4 linked regions of the Macaca fascicularis genome follow. The protein of the gene in region 3 purifies or fractionates together with the protein of the main gene of each other region. This does not show direct contact. Links are inferred from orthologs where the notes say so. Each region holds a gene or a part of one and is shown on either strand. Other genes may lie near its edges.

Region 1 (4,858 bases), on a different chromosome or scaffold from region 3:
ATCACTAGGTCAGGAGTTCCAGACCAGCCTGACCAACGTGATGAAGCCTCACCTCTACTAAAAATACAAAAATTAGCCGGGCATGGTGGTGCTTGCCTGTAATCCCAGCTACTCAGGAGGCTGAGGCAGGAGAATCGCTTGAACCCGGGAGTTGGAGGTTGCGCCACTGCACTCCAGCCTGGGCAAGAGCAAGGCTCCGTCTCAAGAAAAAAAAAAAAGTGAAACAAGCTCTGAAGAACAGTAATTTGCACAGCCTGCTAAACTTGCACATGGTCTGCTGCTAACAGTTAATTGTCATCTTAAATCCCTGAGATATCCACTGGAGCTCTTACTAAAAGCATAAAGAAGAAAAACTTAATTCTAGTCTCTATTCAGATAATAGCTGTGTGCCAAGCATTTGTTTTTAAATCTCAGGTAGAGCTGTTAATCACCACGAGCTCTGCTTATCTGCTTATATGGTCTAGGGAGTGCTAGGGGAAGAAAGAAGTCAGGACAGAGAGAAGAAAAGCTCATGTAAATCTCATTAGCTAGAACAACACACTTCAGCCCTAACTATATGCATCTAGTAAGAAATGACCTGAGAAAACAAACACGTGTCCATTAGGCTACATAAAAGGAGGATTGAAAGAATAGGTTTTCGGACTGTAGCAGGCATATCTCATCAAATAAAGTGACCCCAGAAGGCTAAGACCATTCTGTTTTGGTGAGAAGTTTCTTGTCACAGAGTACACAGTATATGCGGCTATGGCATGGGAAAAGACTCATTAGATTCTGTAGTCAGGATTACTCATGGCTCCTTTTGGAATACATTCTTTTAGTGAGCCTCACATTCCAGCCGGCTATAAAACAAACCAACTAATCCTCAAACTCTTCTGCTCTCACAACACTATTGTTCTCACTTTTCCAGGTTACAAAAAAGGGGGTGTGCTGTTTGCCTTTTAGTGTCTTTTGTCTGCTTTAGACTAAGTTTTAGTATATCCAGCTCCCCTTTCAAGTTTTCCCAGACAATCCTACCAATGCACAAGATGCTACTGCTCTGTCCATTACTATGCAGTCAAAAGTCCAAAAGAAAACTATCACCAGGGCACACCTAGGCTCTTCCAGGGTTGCCAAGCAAGTAAATTAACTTGGTGTATAATCTCTTGCACCCAATGCACACTTAAAGGAGCCACATTCTGTACATACACAAAATTCTTGCCTCTATAAGGCATCTATACTGCATTCTGGGCAAGTAGAACGCATTAGGATGTCCTCTTGCCTCACTAATGTGAGCTTACCTTGGCTTTGTCTCTCATTGAGCCCTTTCCCAACACAGAGATCTTTGCACCAGTCTCTTCCTGCAGTCTTTTGATTGTATTCCCTTGTGGTCCAAGAATCTTCCCCACAAAATTGAACTGACAGAAAATAAAGGATTTCTAAATATACATGCTACTATATAAAAACATCTCCACATAAATTACCTCATTTGATTTTAAACAACCCTGCAAAGGTAGAGTAATACCATTCCCGTTTTACTGAAGGACGCTGAAGCCATATTAATAAAGTGATTAGTTTAAGATTATGAAACTAGAAAGTGGCAGTTCCTAGACCTGAATTTGGCTTTTCTGATGTATTCTGGCCATCTTCCATAATACACTAAGACCTTTACTATTTTATTTTTTACTTTATTTTGAGACAGGCTCTCACTTTGTTGCCCAGGCCAAAGTGTAGTGACATGATCATGGCTCACCACAGCCTCGACTTCCTGGGCTCAAGTGATCCTCCCGCCTCAGCCTCTGGAGTAGCTGGGACTATAGGTGCACATCACCATATCAGGCTAATTTTTGTTATTTTTTGTAGAGATACGGTTTTGCTATGTTGCTTAGGCTGGTCTTGAATTCCTGGGCTCAAGTAATCTGCCTGCATTGGCCTCCCAAAGTGCTGGCATTACAGGCATGAGCCACTGTGCCTGTTTATGCATGCCTTAACATACATAAACATTGTTAACGCAGTGACCTCAGAACAGAAGAGACTATATAGCACCCTTTGATAGCACGCTGGATAAACTAAATGTAACTAATTGCTTTCCTAAAAAAAGAAAAAAAAAAAAAAGAAGAAAAAAAGCATTTACTTAAAAGTAAACTTTTAGTAAGAAAATAAAATTAACTTCATCCAATTGAGGATTTGTATTATATTTCCTTTTATTTAGATTTCAGGTTAGTCTTTTGACAGAGAGCAACTCTTCAGGTTTTATTTTTTTTTTTCTTTGAACTTGTAGCCTGAGCAGTCATTAGAGAAAGAAACTTTTTGATAATAAAAAGATTATTACATTTCCTTCCTGGCTATAACTATGTTTAGTTAAGAACTTAGATATTTCAATTGCCAGAAACAGGTACTGCAAGCATGAAAGAGAAGCTTCACAGGCTTAAGTTTCTAAAGCATCACAATCCCCAGGAGTCCATGACTCTCTCGTAACTATAAAGATAACTCAAAGATGCAAGGCACTTTTTGCCTTACCTTGGGATACTGCTTGACAGGTATCAGCACTCGCTCTTTCAGTTTCATGTTCTTATGAGAAAATAAATCCAAGTAATTCTCTTCATCGTCCTTTTTTGAGTCTCCTTTCTGAATCTTCTCAATTTCTGAATAGGAAAAACAATTTAAATTTTTGCTCTGGTAAATAAAAGCAAATTTTGAAGTCTGCTTAAAGCAATAACATGAAGTACCATATAGTGAGACCAAATAGTACACATGAATGTGCCAATTTCAGAAAGAAACTAGCTGAAAGTACTAAAGTTGTATGAAGTTGATTAGAAAGCCCAAAGCCTGCTTCTAATAAAAGTAGTGTGCTCTTCTAACCTCACCTGAAGCCTCACGTGAGAATAGAGACATTTAAATGTTTCTTAAATCGATTTAACAAAATTAATTGGGTGAGATGGGGAAAGGAGAATAAAGAAACAAACAAAAAATTAAAATCTGCATCAAGACAAAATATAATCTTACCTTGAAAAAAGCAAAAATCAATAATCTAAATATACAATGGATAGTTCCATTAAAGTTCCACAGTGACATTAGTACTCTAGATACTAGTCCTTAAGAGTCTGAAAGACCTTGTTCTTACTCTGCTACTCACTAGTTGTGTGACGTAAGAGAAGTTAATAAAATATGTAGATATGCCTAACTAAAGGCAATTTTTCATAAAGTACTTAATGTATCGTCACCATTATCTAGCCCAAATTCAGCCAATGTCTAAACGATACAAAATGCACCAGGTACTTTTTTGAGACGGAGTTTCACTCCTGTTGCCCAGGCTGGGTGCAATCTTGGCTCACCGTAACCTCTGCCTCCTGGGTTCAAGCGATTCTCCTGCCTCAGCCTTCCAAGTAGCAGGGATTACAGGCATGTGCCACCATGCCCAGCTAATTTTGTATTTTTAGTAGAGACGGGGTTTCTCCATGTTGGTCAGGCTGGTCTTGAACTCCCGACCTCAGGTGATCCACCTGCCTCAGCCTCCCAAAGTGCTGGGATTACAGGCATGAGCCACTGCGCCCGGCCCAGCCACAAGGTACTTTCTAAAAAAACATTTTATTGAAGTATAACTGATATGTAAAAACCCATACATAATTAATGTATACAATTCATGATGAGTTTGGAGATAAGTATACACCCATGAAACTATCACCACCATTATGGCCACAGACATATCCATCATCACCCAAAAGTACTTTCAATTCGCAGGTTAAGACAGTTTCATTAGATAGAAACTTGGCATACCAAAAAGATTTCCTACTGGCCGGGCGCGGTGGCTCAAGCCTGTAATCCCAGCACTTTGGGAGGCCGAGACGGGCGGATCACAAGGTCAGGAGATCGAGACCATCCTGACTAACACGGTGAAACCCCGTCTCTACTAAAAAATACAAAAAACTAGCCGGGCGAGGTGGCGGGTGCCTGTAGTCCCAGCTACTCGGGAGGCTGAGGCAGGAGAATGGCGGGAACCCGGGAGGCGGAGCTTGCAGTGAGCTGAGATCCGGCCACAGCACTCCAGCCTGGGTGACAGAGGAAGACTCCGTCTCAAAAAAAAAAAAAAAAAAAGAAAAAAAGATTTCCTACCATTAAGGAACTTCATTCATTGAGTGACTGCAAGTGTTTGAGTGCTTCCTACGGTATGGAGAGGCAGATGAAGGGAGAGCTATAATAGGTACAATCATTAACCACTATGGAGGACTTACTAAGAGCCAGGCATCTGTCTTGCAAAGCACAGGAGATACAACAGAGCGAGTCAGACTGGTCTCTGTCTTCACTGTTTATATACTGGAGTTCCCAGACTATAGGGGTGGCAATGAAGTATAGTTACGTGCTATAACAGGAGTTCTAACAGAGATGAGGGAAAAGTGCCCAAGGAATGAGCAGCAACTGAAAGCTTATATGATTCACTGAGAATAGTTAAAATACATATACTCCCTAAAATCAGTGGAACATTCTAAATATCAGAAAATACTCTGTAATAGAATATCACATAATATTCCCATGTTCTAGAATTTTAAGACTAGGGTTCCCAAACTTCTTCATGCATCAGAATCACCTAGAAGAGGGCTTATTAAACTAGACTGCTGGGCCTCAAACCCAGTCTGGGATTTGTGTTAGGAATTTGCAATTCCAACAAGTTCCCAGGTAATTCTGATACTGCTGGTGCAGGGACCATACTTTGAAAATCATTGGCTTAAAGTATAAACATACCCTACCTCAAACACGTTCTGCAAATGTATACCCTTAACAGTTTTTATTTATTTACTAATTATTATTATTTTTTGAGACACGGTCTCGCTCTGTCACCCAGACTGGAGTGCAGTGGCACAATCTCTGCTCACTGGAACCTCTG
Region 2 (4,858 bases), about 2.8 Mb from region 3:
ATGAGAGGGTGACAAAGAAAAGAGCAAGAGAGGGGAAAAGTGACTGGGGAGTTACAGCTCTTACTCTTTCCTGAAGAAGGGCCACATCTCGGGGCTGTGCAGCACCCGGGTTCTGTGAGGCACGCGAATTGGGGGAAGGGCGCAGGTTAGGCGAGGGGCGCAGGTTCTGCCAATCAGGTGGAATTGGCCAATCAGCGGGGATCCAGTCAGGTGGTAGTGGCCAGTCAGTGGGAAGTGGCCAATCGGGTGGCAGTGGCCAGTCGGGTGGTAGCGGCCAGTCAGGAGGACCTTGCCAGTCTGGAGGACCCTGCCAGCCTGGTGGGGTCTGCCATCCAGGTGGGGTCTGCCATCCAGGTGGATTCTGCCAGGCCAGTGGATTCGGCCAGACAACAGGGCCAGGCCAGACAATGGGGTTTGGCCAGATCACTGGGTTCTGCCAGATTACTGGGTTTGGCCAGATCACTGGGTTCTGCCAAGCAACTGGGTTCTGCCAGGCTGGTGGGGTCTGCCTAGCTGGAGGGCTCTGACGTGCTGGTGGGGTCTGCCTGGCTGTCTGGTTTTGCCAGCCTGAGGGGTTCTGCCAAGCCAATGGCGTCTGCCAGAGCACGTTGGGGGGTGCGCCAGGTGGGTTCTGAGTGGTCACTGGAACTGGTGCAGACCTCCAGGTCCCTGCAGCCAGTGGGGCCCGCCTCTGATCCCCACTGCTGTTCTCTTCAACATTCAAGTTATTAATCTGTATCATCAGAGAGAAGAAAAGTTCAGAATCACCAGTGGGTTCTGTGTCCTTACCTTATCTATTCCAGGAATGCCCTCTAAACCCTCACCTGTAGTGACAGCCTGACCCACTAGCCATTGGTCACCCTGAGTCCTGGGTTTGTCTTTCACTGTCTTCCAGGCAGGAGTTTCATCTCCGAACCAGGTCAGGAACAAACCAAAGATGGGGACTGAGGCTTCTCCTCTTCCTATGTCCACCACTGGCTCTGTCTGTACCACCCTGAACAAATCACTCAAGTCACTTCACTTCTCTGCCACTTAATTTCCTTCTCTGTAAAATTGGGACTATGATCCCTACCTGGTAGGAGGTGCCTTTAAGATTTTATGAGACAACCCGTGTGAATGTGCCTAGCTCAAGGCTTAACACACGGTAGTTACTAACACAATGTAAACTGAATTACATACAGGTTGTATATATTATTTGTGCCCATGTATTATCTCCCCATCAGTTTGTGAACACCCGGAGGACAGGAATAAACATTCTCTTCAAATGGCCTATAGCCTAGCTGAATACAGTTACATACATTGTTTTGAACAAACGAACACCCTCAGAGAAGAAAGGAGAGAGCCCCAAAGCAAAGTGAAGCTAGCAGGGATCTCACCTTGCGGGTCCTCTTGCCCCGAATTATTGTCCGGGACTCCAGATTCTGAGCCTGGGAACCATCTGCTGATGTCTGTGCAGTTGCACCGTCAGATTCAGAGATACCTGGGTCGGTCTCTATGTCAGCCTGGGAAGTGGCCATTTTGGCCTGATTTACATTCTGGGTCTGGGTATCAGCTGTTGGGGACTTAGTGGTATCATTCCAAGCCTTGAAGGGGGTCTTAGGCCTGCTGTTGGCCAGGTCATTGGCATTGAGAGACTGAGAGAAATTGTAGGTGGCATTTGGGCCCACTTTAGTAGTGGCATTCTGGGCCTTAAAGGCCATCTCAGACTTGTTAGCAGCTAACTCACCAGTGGTTGCTGCCTGGGAAAAATCATAGGCAGCATTTGGACCCTTTGGGGTGGCATTTTGGGACTTAAGGGCTGCCTTGGGCTGCGTGTTGGGCACGTCCTTGGCATTATGAGCCTGAGAGAAATCATAGACACCATTTGGGCCTTTTGTGGTGGCATTCTGGACTTTAAAGGCTGACTTAGGCCTAGCGGCAGCTGCTGAAACCTGAATGTCAGCCATCTCATTGGCAGTTGGGGGCTGTGAACTCTGGGGACTAGCAGCTGCAGTGGCCTGGTTAGTAGGTGGAGCCTCTGAGATCTGGATGGCCTCCATCAAGGTCTGCATAAGCAAGGCGCTGTCTTCTACAGAGGCCTCAGCCTGCAAACACAGGAGGGGAAAAATTAAATCTCTGGGCCTCTGAGGCAGGAGGTGGGGTGGGAATAGGGAGCCCGGGTGGCAGCGCAACAGGGGAGCTGCAGGCGGGTGGTGGGTGCAAAAACAGGGGGGCTGAGGCAGAGATCTATGGGACCCGCAAGGGGCGATAGGGGGCGGGGCGGGTACTAAACATGTGGCAGGGATGGAGTAGGGCAGGGGCAAAATGAGGGGTGGGGAGGTGTGCAGAGAGTGGGCAGGAACAGGAGCCAGGGACGCTCTGAGAGGCGTGCAGTAGCAGCTCAGGACGGGAGGCGGATCGCGGAGTTGAGAATAAGGGGGGTCGCACAGAGTGGGGAATGCAGAGAGAGGGAGGGTGGAGGCAGGAGGCTGGGGGAGGGGGTGACAGACTGCTCTACAAGCGTCAGGACTCTGGAAAAAAAAAATGGTTCCTTACCCACCCCGCATTCTCTGGGCAGATTGCCCTGACTACTAACAGGGTCTCCCCTCTCTCTGAGCAGGGACTGATGGCTGAAAAGAGACGCCCCTCCCCCCCTTCGATAAACGATGAGAATTCGAAAGGCCCACGGAGTCTAGTCACTAAAGAGGGCCAAACCGGATCCCGGCGTTTGGGAAACCAAAGAGGCCCGCGGGGAGGGGTGACTGTCGGCTGGGGAAATGCTGGGGTGGGGAGTGGAGATCTCACCTGGAAGCCGAGGAGGCCCGCACCACAGTCCATTTTCTGAGCCATGGCTCCTGTCCCTCTGGCAAGAGCGGAGCCTGGGGGCTGTGGGAGAGGGGCAGGGCGTTATACTACAGAGGGCAAATACGAAGGACCGAATTGGGAGGGGGATGACTGTGGTGATTGTGCGGGCGGATAAGGTGAATGTGAGGAGGAACGGATCGGAGCAGGAAAAGTGAATGGGCGTCCAGATGCAGGTTCTGAACCCCGAGAAGCTACTGACAGGGAGATGCTTCAAATCGGGGTTTGGGAAGCAGATGAGTTCTGAATTCGCGGAGGAGGGGTGCGGTTGGGTTGGGATTCGCATTTGGGAAGTTGCATGGAGGTTTTGAGTCAGGAGGAATCATCTAACAGTACAGATCGAGGTCAAGGAATCTGAGGATTTCGAACGATGGGAGGGATCGGACAGGGGTTTTGAATCAGGAAGGATCGGGAGGGGCATGTGAATTGGGGCTTGGGGGGTGGAAAGGGATTCAGAATCCAGGGTGAAGGGATCGGGATAAAACAAAAATGGGGGCCCGCACCAGGGGGCAGATGCCCTGTCTGGGGGCTAATTCTCACCTTGCCTCAGGCCCCAACCCCAACCCCCTCGCTGCCTCCCTTCTTCACGACTCAGAGGATCGGGATTGCTGGGCTCGGCTCTCAGCAGCCGCACTCTCTCCTTGTCCAGGAGAAAATGCCAGCGCGGCAGCTTGGGCGACCCCGCCTCTTCGCCTAATATACCACCCACCGCCTCAGGACATTACGCGCATGCGCAAACACTGAAAAGCCAAAGTCAGTCCCGCCTGCTTTCCCAACAAAAGCTTCGTCCTGGAGACCATGATGCGCATGTGCGCTTGAAGGCGGTCCCGCCCCCTTTGCCAACACACCACCCCACCACCAACCAGGTCGACACTATACAACAGCACCTCCCCTTCCTCTACGCCCCCTCCCCCAACAGATGCGCTGTGCCTCTTGGTCACACCCCTTGCCCCACACACCGGCCCCCTACCTTTTCCGCAATGCGTCTCTATTCCGTCCCTCCCCTACTCAAGGCCCCTCCTGTCAGGTCGGCTTGCATCTCCACCCCCTTGCCCAGCACGCTTAGGTCTCTGTGTGGGGTCTCTAATTGCAACAAGTGTTAGACCTCCGCTGAGGAAACGGAATGGCCTGAGAGGATACACTATTGGAGCTAACAAAGTAGTAGTAGTAAGTCTGTGGCTGCCACGTGACTCCATGATTTCTCCCCCACTCCCTGCCCGCCCCCACAAGCTCCCAGACGCAGAAAGAACGTTAGTTTCTTCCCTGTTCTTTATGCAGCTCCGGTGATGGACTCATTTGTGTGTGTTGGGGGAGGAAAGGAGGGAAGGGCACAGCTTGTACATCACAGCAGGATTTGTGCTGGGGCTTGTCTTCCCGTCACAGCAGCCCTGGGAGGTGAATGTCAGCACCCTCATTTTACAGATCAGGAAGATGAGGCACATATACATTGCATAAACTAGACAAGGCCACAAAGCCAGAAAACAAAATGCAAAATTTGGGTCTGGGTCTTCCTGACTCCAAAACCCACGTTCTGCTCATGCTGCCCTGGGGACTAAGGGTACCCCTCCCTCCTCCATTTGAGCAACAGACCACGGCACCCCATTTGTCCTAAACAAGCAAAGTTTGTGTTCTAGGAGGCCCAAGCTCATGCTCTGCATTCAGGAGGACACAAGCAGAGGCCCCCACCCTCCCCCCTGCCCTATGTGGGTCCATCCAGGTGTGGAAATTGCTCCTTGGGGTCCACTCTGTGCTCAGAACGTCAGGCCTCTTCCTTATCAGGGATACAATCGCACTGTCCCTGAGGCCTTCTGGTGCCCACTGGAGCAGCCAGGACAATCAGACCTGTGTGTCTGAGCCATGGCAAGCCCTGGTTCCTTTCAGGGCTGGGGTCTGGGGCAGCTGTGGTCTTACGGAGAGAAACTGGGCTGGGCTTCAGAATTCCAGCGATGGAGTGCCCAGCCTGTCTGTCTCCAGCTGTGTGAGCCCGCTCAGGTCACTCAATTCTCTGAGCCCGGTT
Region 3 (5,493 bases):
GGAAGAGGGAGCAGTCAAGGTTGACTCCCAGGTTCTGGCTTGGACAACGGCTGGATGGGAGTGCTATTCCCTGGTAAAGGGAACATCAAAGCTGTTAGCACTCAGTGCTAGGTACATAGTAAGTACTTGGTGAAGGGTAGCCATGATTACTATCTTGAGTTCAGTTTTAGATGTGTAGTGAGTGAAATATATGGGGCTAGGGTGAGATGGTCATGAGAAGATTCAATGTGATAATGTGCATCTGGCACAGAGCCATGAACACAACAGGCCTGGTAAACATGAAAGTCCCCTCCTCCCATTAAGTCTCATGAGCAGAAAACACTACTTAGAACCCATTTATTACTTACACCTTTCAGGGAAGAACTTCAACTAGGGTTAGTATCTGAAGGGAGGCAAGGCTATACTCAAAACAGCTTTCCCATGGTCTCTTTCAGTCAACCTGTTGTATGGCTTGTCTCCTAAGACTGGAAGTGAACTCCAAATACCTTCTTGGTTCATCAGCTCATCTGAACCCCATAACCATTCCCTGAGGTAGTCTGGGCAGGCATTATCATTCCCGTTTTACACACGGGTAATCTCAAAAGCAACACAATGACTTGCTCAAGATCATACAGTTGGTAATGGTCCATCTGTGCCTGGAACTGAGGTCTTTCTGGCTCCAAAGCCTACGATCCTTCCACTGCACCACCATGCAGACTACTTTATTGAACACTTCCTATGTGCTGGGCACAACACCAGGCCCTTCAGAAGCATTAATCTCTGATCCTCAGATTGGAATTATCATTGCCAATTTATAGAATAGAAATTGAGGATGGGTGCTCACTTCGCACCACATATACTAAACTTAGAACGATACAGAGAAGATTAGCATGGCACTATGCGAAAGGATGACACGCAAATACGTGAAGCGTTCTATAAAAAAGTAAACAACAATAACAAAAATTGAGGACGGGGTGGGAGTTAAATGACTGACAAAGATCAATCAGACAGGAAGCGCAGAGCTAGAATTAGCGTGTAGCTCTCCAGCTACTCAATAGCAGGGATTCTGCCAACCCCATTTCGAGACGCTGACTGGTGACAGAGCTGATTCATAAACCTCGATCGACCCAAGCAAACTCAGTTTTAGAAAAAGGCTGGGCTTGGCCAGGCGCGGTGACTCACGCCTGTAATCCCAGCACTCTGCGAAGCCGAGGCGGGAGGATCGCTTGAGCCCAGGAGGTGGAGATCAGCCTGGGCAACATAGCGAGACTTTGTCCCTACAAAAAAGTGAAAAAAAAATTAGCCGGGCGTAGTGGTGCGCGCTTGCGGTTCCAGCTATTCGGGAGACTGAGGCGGGAGGATCGCTTGAACCTTGGAGTTGGAGTTTGCAGTGAGCTATGATCGCGCCACCGCATTCCAGCCTGGGCGACAGAGTGAGACCCCCGTCTCGATTAGAGGGGGGGGGAAAAAAAAAAAAAAAAAAAAAAAAAAAAAAAGGCTGGGCCGCGCCTGCGCACTAGCCATAGGGCCGGGGAGGTCAACCCGAGGGCGAGAGTGCTGTGGTGCCAGAGAAGGCGTGTCTGTTTCCCAAACAACCACTGTCCCCACGGTGCTTGTCTGTCCCAAGGTTGGTCGGTATGACGCGAGTGACGGCGTCTTTTAGCCAATCACCGCAGAACTCAGGCTGTTGCCGGGGTGAAGCGGTGTCCGCCTCCCCCGGAAGGATATTTGTAGGTGGGTGGGACCGGAAGTGACGCTACAGGGGAATGCTATGCTCTGGGAGTGTTGATGTTTTCCAGTCATTCCGGCTGACAGCGTTCAAGTTGGAAGCCTGGAGGGGAGGTGTTTTTCCTGTCGTACGTGGGACAGGCCACGCTGTCCGTCCGCAGTACCGACGACTGCGAGTCAGAGCTTCGGGGAGAAAAGTGAAGAGCAAGACGGGACCGACGGGGAGAAAGGCTGGGAACCAGGGTGTCGACTTTGACTGAAATTTGAGACGGAGGGCACCGGAGGGCGAGCACTCGCCTGTGATTGGCCCGTGGGCGTCGTCGAGGACCCACGCAGCTGCTCAATTGGTTGGTGTTCGCAATTGTTGTGGCTGCGGCGGCGATTTTGCCCACGTACTTCCGAGCAAGGGGCGGGGCTGTGCCCTGGCGCGCGTGCGCAGCGCCCCGGGGCCCCACCCGGTAGTGCAAGAACCTGCGAGGGGGCGGAGCGAAGAGGTGCTTGTTTTGGTTCTGTTTCCTTTGAAGCAGAAGGCCGGAACAAGCGTAGCAATAAATTTGCTGGACTTGGAGAGAAGGTTCCGACAAACTCGCCGCACTGCCTTCATCTTGGACTTTACATCCGGGTTCTCCTCCCGGCGTGACCCGCGCGCCGCCGCCGCCGCCGCCGCCGAGGGTTCTCGAACCGGTGCCGCGATCCCTTTATCCGGGTTTCGCCGTTCCCGTCGTGCTTAGCGCACTACACTAGCCCCCCCTCATCCGGGTTCTCTCCCGGCGTGCCTCGCGCCGGGTTTGTTGGGGGGTACTCGGCGGTGCAGCCATGACTATACTCCCCAAAAAGAAGCCGCCGCCTCCCGACGCCGACCCCGCCAACGAGCCGCCGCCGCCCGGGCCGCTGCCCCCGGCGCCGCGGCGCGGCGGGGGTGTGGGCGTGGGCGGCGGCGGCACGGGCGTGGGCGGCGGCGATCGCGACCGTGACTCCGGCGTCGTGGGGGCCCGTCCGCGAGCTTCGCCACCGCCTCAAGGCCCGCTACCAGGACCGCCGGGCGCACTTCATCGCTGGGCGCTGGCCGTGCCGCCTGGTGCAGTGGCGGGTCCCCGGCCACAACAGGCTTCTCCACCTCCTTGCGGGGGCCCAGGTGGTCCCGGCGGCGGTCCCGGCGACGCGCTGGGCGCAGCGGCGGCGGGTGTGGGTGCCGCGGGCGTGGTGGTGGGTGTGGGTGGTGCCGTAGGCGTGGGCGGCTGCTGCTCCGGGCCTGGGCACAGCAAGCGGCGACGTCAAGCTCCCGGGGTTGGCGCGGTTGGCGGGGGCAGTCCCGAGCGTGAGGAGGTCGGCGCAGGCTACAACAGTGAGGACGAGTATGAGGCGGCTGCAGCACGCATCGAGGCTATGGACCCTGCCACTGTCGAGCAGGTAAGAGCTGCGGGATGAGGGGTGGGCGGCTACGGCAGATGGGACCCCCAGACTGTGAAGAGCCTCAAGGAAGGCTGTTTGAGATCGCCCCAAGGGATTTAGGCGTTTTCACTGGGCCTGATAGTCTTCTCTGGTGGTAGGGGTGTGAGATGCCTTCTTTCCTCCCCTCCAGGGATTTGGGGCTAGAGGCCTACGATAAGGTGGCAGACTTAAAGATGGGATCCGAGGCCTCTTTTAGGGTCTGTAATCGTCATTTCAGTCCTTGGGACCTCATCTTGTAGGGCCAATAGGTGGGAATTCTCCAAGAGACACAGGTAGGATCGCGCCCCTCTTGAGCAGGAGTCTCAGGTCTTCCAAAAGACCTAGGTCTGTGTTCAGTGGCTTAAGAGCTCTTTTCCTTTGGGATAGAAGTTTGAGATTCCTCCTCCAGGAAAGTCAAATAAGGTGGAGACCTCAGAGATCGGGTCTGAACATCCCCAAGGAGCCTAAGCCCTTTCAAGAGTCTAAGACACTCTGCATGTAGGACAGTCCTCTCCTGCTTCGCTAGGTAACACGGCACAGGACCACTGAATAGCCAGACCTGAGACCTCAAGGGTCCTAAGTCTGTCTTCAGGGGCCTGAGAGTCCTTATTGTAGAATCAAGGTCCTGACACACACACACACACACACACACACACACCCTTTAAGGACAGGGATCTTCTAAGCTTTTTCCAGGGATGTAAGACTTTTCGCAGGGAGATATGATTCCCTTGCCCTTGGGGACAGGGACCGAAACCAACACCCAAGGACCAGCAGCTTTACTTGAGTACAAGAGACTCATCCGCTTTCTGAGTGACAAAGGTCTGCATTTCCTATCAGTGGCTGAGACCTACCTCTTCGGAGACAAGGCCCTGACTCTCTTCAGGATCTTAAGCTTCTTGTAAGAAGAGATGGGCCCTCAGCACCCCCACCAGGGGCCTGAACCTTTCTTCAGGAAAATGAAGACTCACAGCGTTGGATCCTAGGGCCTAAGATCCACCTGCTTATGGACTGAGGTTTTTAGAGACCGAGTCTGAGGCCTCTTTGGGGGCGTGGTGTTCTGCTGCAAAGGTCTCAGACAAGGTGAAGCCTTAGGAGATTCTTCTTCTCAAGACTAGTGTCTGAGTGGTTTTGGGGGTCCGAGACTCCCTACCCCACAAGCATATGTGACCTTTTTACCCCAATTATAAGGGACTGAAACATACCTTGATACAGTATCTCATTTTCCCTTTTGTAACAGGGGTTTGAGGCCCTCCCCTCTTTGGGCCTAAGCTTCTTGTCAGGGACATATGACCCTTGCCTTGGGAACTTGAGCCTGAGACGACTCCTCAGGGGACATGGGCAACATGGGATCCCAGAGATCATGTCTGGGGCCTCCCTACAGATCTCTGCCTACATTTAAGGGCCTGAGACCCACTCTGCCAAGGACACTTGAGCTTTCCTTCAGGGATGGGAGACTCATACATACCCTGGTGACTTGTGTGTCTAGAGGTAAGGTCTGAGCTTCCTCCTCAAGGATCTTAAGGTGTACCCCTGAGAAACAGGAGGACTCCTCCCCCGACGCCTGAGCCCTGAGACCCTTCCCTTGGGGCATGGATAAAGGATCCCTGTGGAACAGGGTCCTGAGTCTACCTCCAAGGGTTTGAATCCTACCTCAGGTGTGCGAAGGCCTGTTCCCCACCTTAGGACCTGATTTCTGAACCTGTCCTTAGGGTACTGTCACCTCACCTCAGACAACATACATACACCCTAGTCATAGGGGTCATTTAGGGATGTAAGATTTCCTGCCTCGGGGACTTGGGCCTCAGATTCCCAATTCCTTTCGGGGACATGAGTAGAGTAGGATTCTGAGGAAAAGAGTCTGGGCCCGAGCTTCCTCTCTGGGACAAGATATCGTTTGCCTTAGGGACTGGGGCCTGGCTCCCACTTGGGCATGAGGCTCTCCCCCTACCACACCAGGGATTCCTTTCTGTACCGGGAGAGGAACGTGAGGTCATCCTCTCCCATTGGACAGAAGGACCTGGATGCTCTTCAGGGTCATATGAACCCCTTATCCTGAGCTCCCTCGTGGCCAGGGCCAAGAAGATCCTCTTCCTTTCTATGAGAAGATTGTCAGGTCCTGGGGACATGGAGTCTGGAGCCTCCCTTCTGAAACCAGGAGCGATTCAGAGTTTCTCCCTGACCTAGCTATGCTTGCTTCTCACCTCTAGATCATATAATAAGTTTTGAACTGCTTTTGACAAGCTTTTTTCTTCCCAGGGACAGGAAAGGGGTTTGGGACATCGCCACTCTGGGGAAATTCTCCTCCCACATTCCTTTTCCCCTTGGCTCAGGTAAATCTTTCTGTACTTCACAGGG
Region 4 (5,056 bases), on a different chromosome or scaffold from region 3:
GACACTGGCAGCCCCATCCTGTGAAGCCAAGACCCTGGGGGCAGAAGAAAGGGGCACTGGGTGCTGGCCAAGGGGACCTATGCCACTTGGCAGCGCCAAATCTGCACCTGCCGCGGCTGCGGAGCTCCCGCGTCTCCCGCTCCTGCTCTGACTCAGCACAGGAAGCCCCAAGGCCTGGCAGTCCCTTCCTCCCAGAGGTGCCCACCTTCCCTTCTGGCGGGGGTTCCGGTGAGGTGAGGTGAGCAAGGGCTGCTCTGCCTGGCCCCTCGGTGTCCCTGCAGGCGACCATGGTAACGCCCAGCACGGCTGCAAGGAGGGGCAGGGCAGCTGTGGCCACTGTAGCCCAAACTGTAACCAGCATCGGGGGGAGGCCCTGGGTGTGCGCCACGGGCCACAGACGCCACCCGCAGCCACTCTCTGCCCAGACGTGGTCTCCTGTGTCAGGTAGCGCCCCCAAGCCACTCGCCACAGAGCCCAGAACTGGGAGAAGCTGGAGGCTGGGTCAGCAGGCAGCAGCAGCTGCTGGGGGTGCTGATACCCCCACCCCACTTCTGGCTCTTCTTGTCTGCCACTGTCTCTGCCAGAGGATCTGTCCCTTCTTGGGGATTAGCAGAATTCTGGGGGTGGGGGACGCCTTATAGTCAGCACATCCCGCAGCACAGAGGCAGCGGCTGGCGGGTGAGGGGTGGCCTCTGGAGTTTGGGGCCAGTCTGCCCAGACCCAGGGAGTGGGTTTCAGGCCGGCCGACTAACCCAGCTACAGCCACGTCCCAAGGCCTCCCAGACCCCAGCTGCCCCCCAGGAGGGCACTTGGGGACCAAGAGACTTGGGGATCTGCCCAGGCACTTACCAAGCCCACGGCCAGGGGTCCTCAGCTCTGTCTGGGGCAGGCGAGGAAGGTCTTTGTACAGCCCTCGGCTGAGCTCCCCACCTCATCACTTCCTGCTCCTGTTGCCGAGCGCCTCCCCTGAGCCTCCCACCCTGGGCAGCAGCCACCACCGCAGCCTCACCCACCTGCTGCGCCCCGCCCGAAGCCTAGATGAAACGTGTGTGCCTCGAGCCCGCACTGTTCTGACAGCCTAACTCACATCCCCTCCACACATGAAGACGTGAGCAGAGCTGGCACAGAACCCCCAAACTCACAGGGCCAGGTCTGCCTGCCTCACCAGGAGTACCCCACGTGGTGGGCCACAGTCCTCCCACCCGTCTCGCCCGCTGGCCCGTCTTGCCTGCTGGAGCAGCACTGAGCTCCACCCATCTGTGGGTGTCAGGCAGCCTGGCGGGCACCCCGGCCTCCAATCTGCCTTGGACAGAGAAGGGAGAGAAGGGAGAATGCTGGCCTCCTAGGCCCCTCCAGCCCAGCCCACCGCTCACCACAGCCCTGCACAGACCCTTCTCTCCCCAGAGACCCTGCAGCCAGCTGATCTCCACTGAATGACACTGTGATGAAATCACTTTAATGTCCTTGCCAAGGAAATGCCCAAGACACTGGCAGGTGGGCAAGAAAGTGTCCAGACAGGACCCTGCAGCCCCGTCTCCACTCAGCAGGGTCCGCACGCCCCAGGCCAGCAGGCCGGCCCCTCCTTGGGCAACGCTGGTCTTTCTGAGGGCAGCCTGTGCCGGGGTCCCACACTTCATCCATAGTGCTTGCAGGGTTCTCTAGAACTCAGTCATCTTCTTGTGGGTGTCTGCCTTCCTCTGCTCCTGCTGCAGGCCTGCTTCCTGAGCCCGGAGCTGCCCCAGCTGGCGCTGGGCTCCTGCCAGCTTCTCCTGCAGCTGGGCTGACGCCACGCTATGCCTGCGGAGAGGCTCACCAGTCAGTGTGGGGTCCCCGGCCATGCCGCCAGCCCCAGGCTGCCATGTCCACTGCCCGTGTGCCCACTGCCTGTCCTCCAACACGCAGACCCCTCCTGGACTCAGCCTGACATGCTTGGGTCAGGTGACCTCCCGCAGGTGTCCTGGGGGCAGGGCCACCCTGGGTTTCCCTCTGCCCTGAGCCGGGCCCCACACCTACCGGCCAGCGTTGCGGGTGAGAGCCTCCTGGATGCTCCTGATGTCCCGCTGGGTTCGCTCGATCTTCTCCTCGGTCTGGAAGAGCCGCAGGCTCAGCGCCCGCTTGGCGCTCTTGCTGGCATGGTACATGTCCTTGCTCCTCCTCCCCGCCGGGGCTGCCCCGGCCTCTAGGGCCCCAGGAGCCTGGCCTTGCAGCTTTTCATTGAGGAAGTCAAACACATTCCGAGGGGGTGGGCGGCCCCCAGGCCGGGCCCCTCTTCCCCGGCACCTGGGGGGCTTGTTGGTGCCACCCTTGCCAACCCTGGTCCGCTTCTGCAGCGTCTCCACACACTGGTCCAGCGACTTCCCTCGTGGCAACACTACAGCATGGATGGGCTCCACCCGACCATCTGCGTGTCGGCCCAAACCTGAGACAGGAACGGCAGTGCTGTGGCTGCCGGACGCTGGGAACCTGATGGCTGCGGGACCCCCGGGAACGTGACGGCTGCGGGACCCCCGGGAACGTGACGGCTGCGGGACCCCCGGGAACCTGATGGCTGCGGGACCCCCGGGGAATCTGATGGCTGCGGGACCTGGGCTATGCTGCAGCCTCTGCCCACTTCTCCAGGGCTGCTTGTACTCACCCTTGCCAAACTCGTAGCCCATCTTGGTGAGGAGTCTGGAGCCTATGCCTCGCGTGTGCACCTCCCAGCCGGCAAAGGCAGAGCTGCAGGTCCCGGAGTCCACAGTGTCCGACCCCACCACTGCAAGAGAAGGACAGAGGGCAGTGGCCGGCCAGGGCAGAGGACTATACATGGTGACCTGGGCTCTGACCAATGAGCTCAGATCCTGGGCAGAGCCCCAACACCCCACCTCTGGGGCTCCGTGCTCTGTCACTGAGGCTGCTGTGGGCATGTGACACCAGGCAGAGTGCATGGCAGTCCCCACGGCCTCCTGCACCGTGACCCCTCCTCCACAGCCCTCTCCTGCCCTTGCCCTTCTCCACCTTCGCAAGGCCGTGAGCTCCTCACCTGCCCTCACAGAGTCCTTGGTTTGGTCCTCCTTCACCAGGGACTTGGGGCTTCAGAAACCACCATCACTGATCCCTGGGTACACCTCCAACATGCAGACCCCTCCTGGACTCAGCCCACCATGCTTGGGTCAGGTGACCTCCCGCATATACACACACACGTATACACACACCCCTCTGGAGAGCTGGCCACCGGCCACTAGTTCCCATTCCCGAAGCTTCCACCCTGGCTGTCTGGACACCACCTCTGTCTGCCAGGATCCACCAGGCACCCAGGTCCCAAGTTTGAGAAGCCATGCAGAGGAGCTGCCCCTCTTGCACTCCAGGCCTCATCAGTTGTTCATTTTCTGTGACTTCCTTGGCAACTCCGGGCGCCTCCTCTCCCATGGCCACAGCCATGACCATGGCCTCCCATCAGTGAGACTGTAGCTGTTGTACCCACGCTCCTTGAAGACAAAGGCCACCACGGATCTACCCCGGCCCTTCACTCGCACTCCTGTACCCCTGCCCCACACGGCCTCCCCAGGCACGGCTGGCGCCCTCGCTGTGGCCACTCTCTCCAATAGTTTGGTTAGACGGTCGGTGCCCTCAAAAGCCAGGAGCCTCTCAGGGTGACCCCACCTTCCTGGCTCCTGGGTTCCACAGCTGCTGCCATACCTCTGGCATAGCTGGAGTCACCTGTGCCATCGCTGTCTGAGTCGGACTCTGTGGCCTCTGTGCGCAGTGGGGGCAGGATGCCGTCCCCCTCCACCACAGCCTCCCTCAGCAGCAGCGAGTCAAACTTGACTGTGTAGTAGCCATTGTCCACATCTAGAGGCAGAGACAAGCTGCAGGTCAGCATCCTTGACAGCAGCTGCCACTGATGGGGAACCACCCTGGACATCAGGAGCAAGGCAGGGCAGAGGCTGAGGGTAGATGTGCTCATTTCGGGCCCAGAGCCAGAGTCCCAACACTCATCCCAAAGGAGGCAGGGAGCAGCCACGCAGTAATAACACGTGTGGAGCCTGGGAGGGTGTTCCCGGGAGGCCTCCACGGCCAGCCTCACCGGTGATGCGTGCCGCGTGCCAGAGGCCATCCTGGTGCTTGGCCAGACACGCAGAGCCGGCCTGCAGGGAGCTCAGGTCTGGGTCCTGGAAGGGGCGCAGCTCATCCAGAGGGACCACCTGCCCATGGGAGAACCTGCAGACAGAGCCATAGGGGGCAGGGCTCAGACATGGGCCACCAGGGGCAAATAAACCCAGGAGCACTGACCCATCCACCTGGGCACCATCCTGAGGGAGCCAGACACATGCATGTATACACACACACACGCACACATATACACATACATGCACATACACACATGTACACATACTCGTACACACATGCACATGCACTAACACATGCATACACGTACATACACAGGTGCACACATGCATATACACACGTACACACATACACATGCATATACACACATACACATACACTCACACATGCATACACGCATGCACACACATACACATATACGCATGCACATACACATGTACACACATACACACATGCATATAACACATAAACATGTAGTCATACACATACACACAGACCCTCACACATTTATAAACATGCACTCACACACACACTCATGCAAATACATATGCAGTCATACATGGATATACACAAGCACCCTCTCACCCACGCACATGCGCGCACACACACGCCTGCTCACACACGTGCACATGCACTCTCACCCATACACATGCGCGCACACACACGCCCTCTCACACACATGTGCACATGCACTCACCCACACGAGCACACACATGCACACACACGCGCACAAACGTGCCCTCACCCACACATGCAGTCACCCACACACATGCGCACACACGCACTGTCACATGTACTAACATATACACCCATACACGCATATACACACACATGCACACACACAACATGCACATATGCATACATGCACACATGCACACACATGACATGCACATATGCACATACATGCACACACGACATGCACATATGCACATACATGCATACACGCTCA

Evidence for each region.
Region 1: the proteins of OTUD5 (region 3) and KHDRBS1 purify together in Homo sapiens (affinity purification with mass spectrometry, with the first as the bait; 3 studies listed by BioGRID). This does not show direct contact. The link is inferred for Macaca fascicularis from reciprocal best matches to the Homo sapiens genes OTUD5 and KHDRBS1.
Region 2: the proteins of OTUD5 (region 3) and MAGED1 purify together in Homo sapiens (affinity purification with mass spectrometry, with the first as the bait; 3 studies listed by BioGRID). This does not show direct contact. The link is inferred for Macaca fascicularis from reciprocal best matches to the Homo sapiens genes OTUD5 and MAGED1.
Region 4: the proteins of OTUD5 (region 3) and ZGPAT purify together in Homo sapiens (affinity purification with mass spectrometry; 3 studies listed by BioGRID, with this or other methods). This does not show direct contact. The link is inferred for Macaca fascicularis from reciprocal best matches to the Homo sapiens genes OTUD5 and ZGPAT.

Annotation. Positions count from the first base shown.
Region 1 is NC_088375.1:203,001,045-203,005,902, forward strand, and holds part of KHDRBS1 (KH domain-containing, RNA-binding, signal transduction-associated protein 1), read right to left. Parts: intron 2,622-4,858; coding exon 2,497-2,621; intron 1,395-2,496; coding exon 1,278-1,394; intron 1-1,277. UniProt on the Homo sapiens protein: Recruited and tyrosine phosphorylated by several receptor systems, for example the T-cell, leptin and insulin receptors. Once phosphorylated, functions as an adapter protein in signal transduction cascades by binding to SH2 and SH3 domain-containing proteins.
Region 2 is NC_088395.1:51,960,896-51,965,753, reverse strand, and holds part of MAGED1 (melanoma-associated antigen D1), read right to left. Parts: intron 3,513-4,858; exon of another isoform or gene 3,382-3,512; intron 2,866-3,381; 5' UTR 2,830-2,865; coding exon 2,785-2,829; intron 2,511-2,784; coding exon 1,377-2,510; intron 734-1,376; coding exon 65-733; intron 1-64. UniProt on the Homo sapiens protein: Involved in the apoptotic response after nerve growth factor (NGF) binding in neuronal cells. Inhibits cell cycle progression, and facilitates NGFR-mediated apoptosis. May act as a regulator of the function of DLX family members.
Region 3 is NC_088395.1:49,113,456-49,118,948, reverse strand, and holds the start of OTUD5 (OTU domain-containing protein 5), read left to right. Parts: upstream 1-2,179; 5' UTR 2,180-2,523; coding exon 2,524-3,117; intron 3,118-5,493. UniProt on the Homo sapiens protein: Deubiquitinating enzyme that functions as a negative regulator of the innate immune system. Has peptidase activity towards 'Lys-48'- and 'Lys-63'-linked polyubiquitin chains. Can also cleave 'Lys-11'-linked ubiquitin chains (in vitro).
Region 4 is NC_088384.1:119,848,750-119,853,805, reverse strand, and holds the end of ZGPAT (zinc finger CCCH-type with G patch domain-containing protein), read right to left. Parts: intron 4,201-5,056; coding exon 4,067-4,200; intron 3,855-4,066; exon of another isoform or gene 3,832-3,854; coding exon 3,679-3,831; exon of another isoform or gene 2,756-3,678; coding exon 2,636-2,755; exon of another isoform or gene 2,420-2,635; coding exon 2,014-2,419; intron 1,798-2,013; coding exon 1,659-1,797; 3' UTR 1,638-1,658; downstream 1-1,637. Other genes in the region: LIME1 (lck-interacting transmembrane adapter 1), read right to left, coding at 1-34, 1,391-1,637. UniProt on the Homo sapiens protein: Transcription repressor that specifically binds the 5'-GGAG[GA]A[GA]A-3' consensus sequence. Represses transcription by recruiting the chromatin multiprotein complex NuRD to target promoters.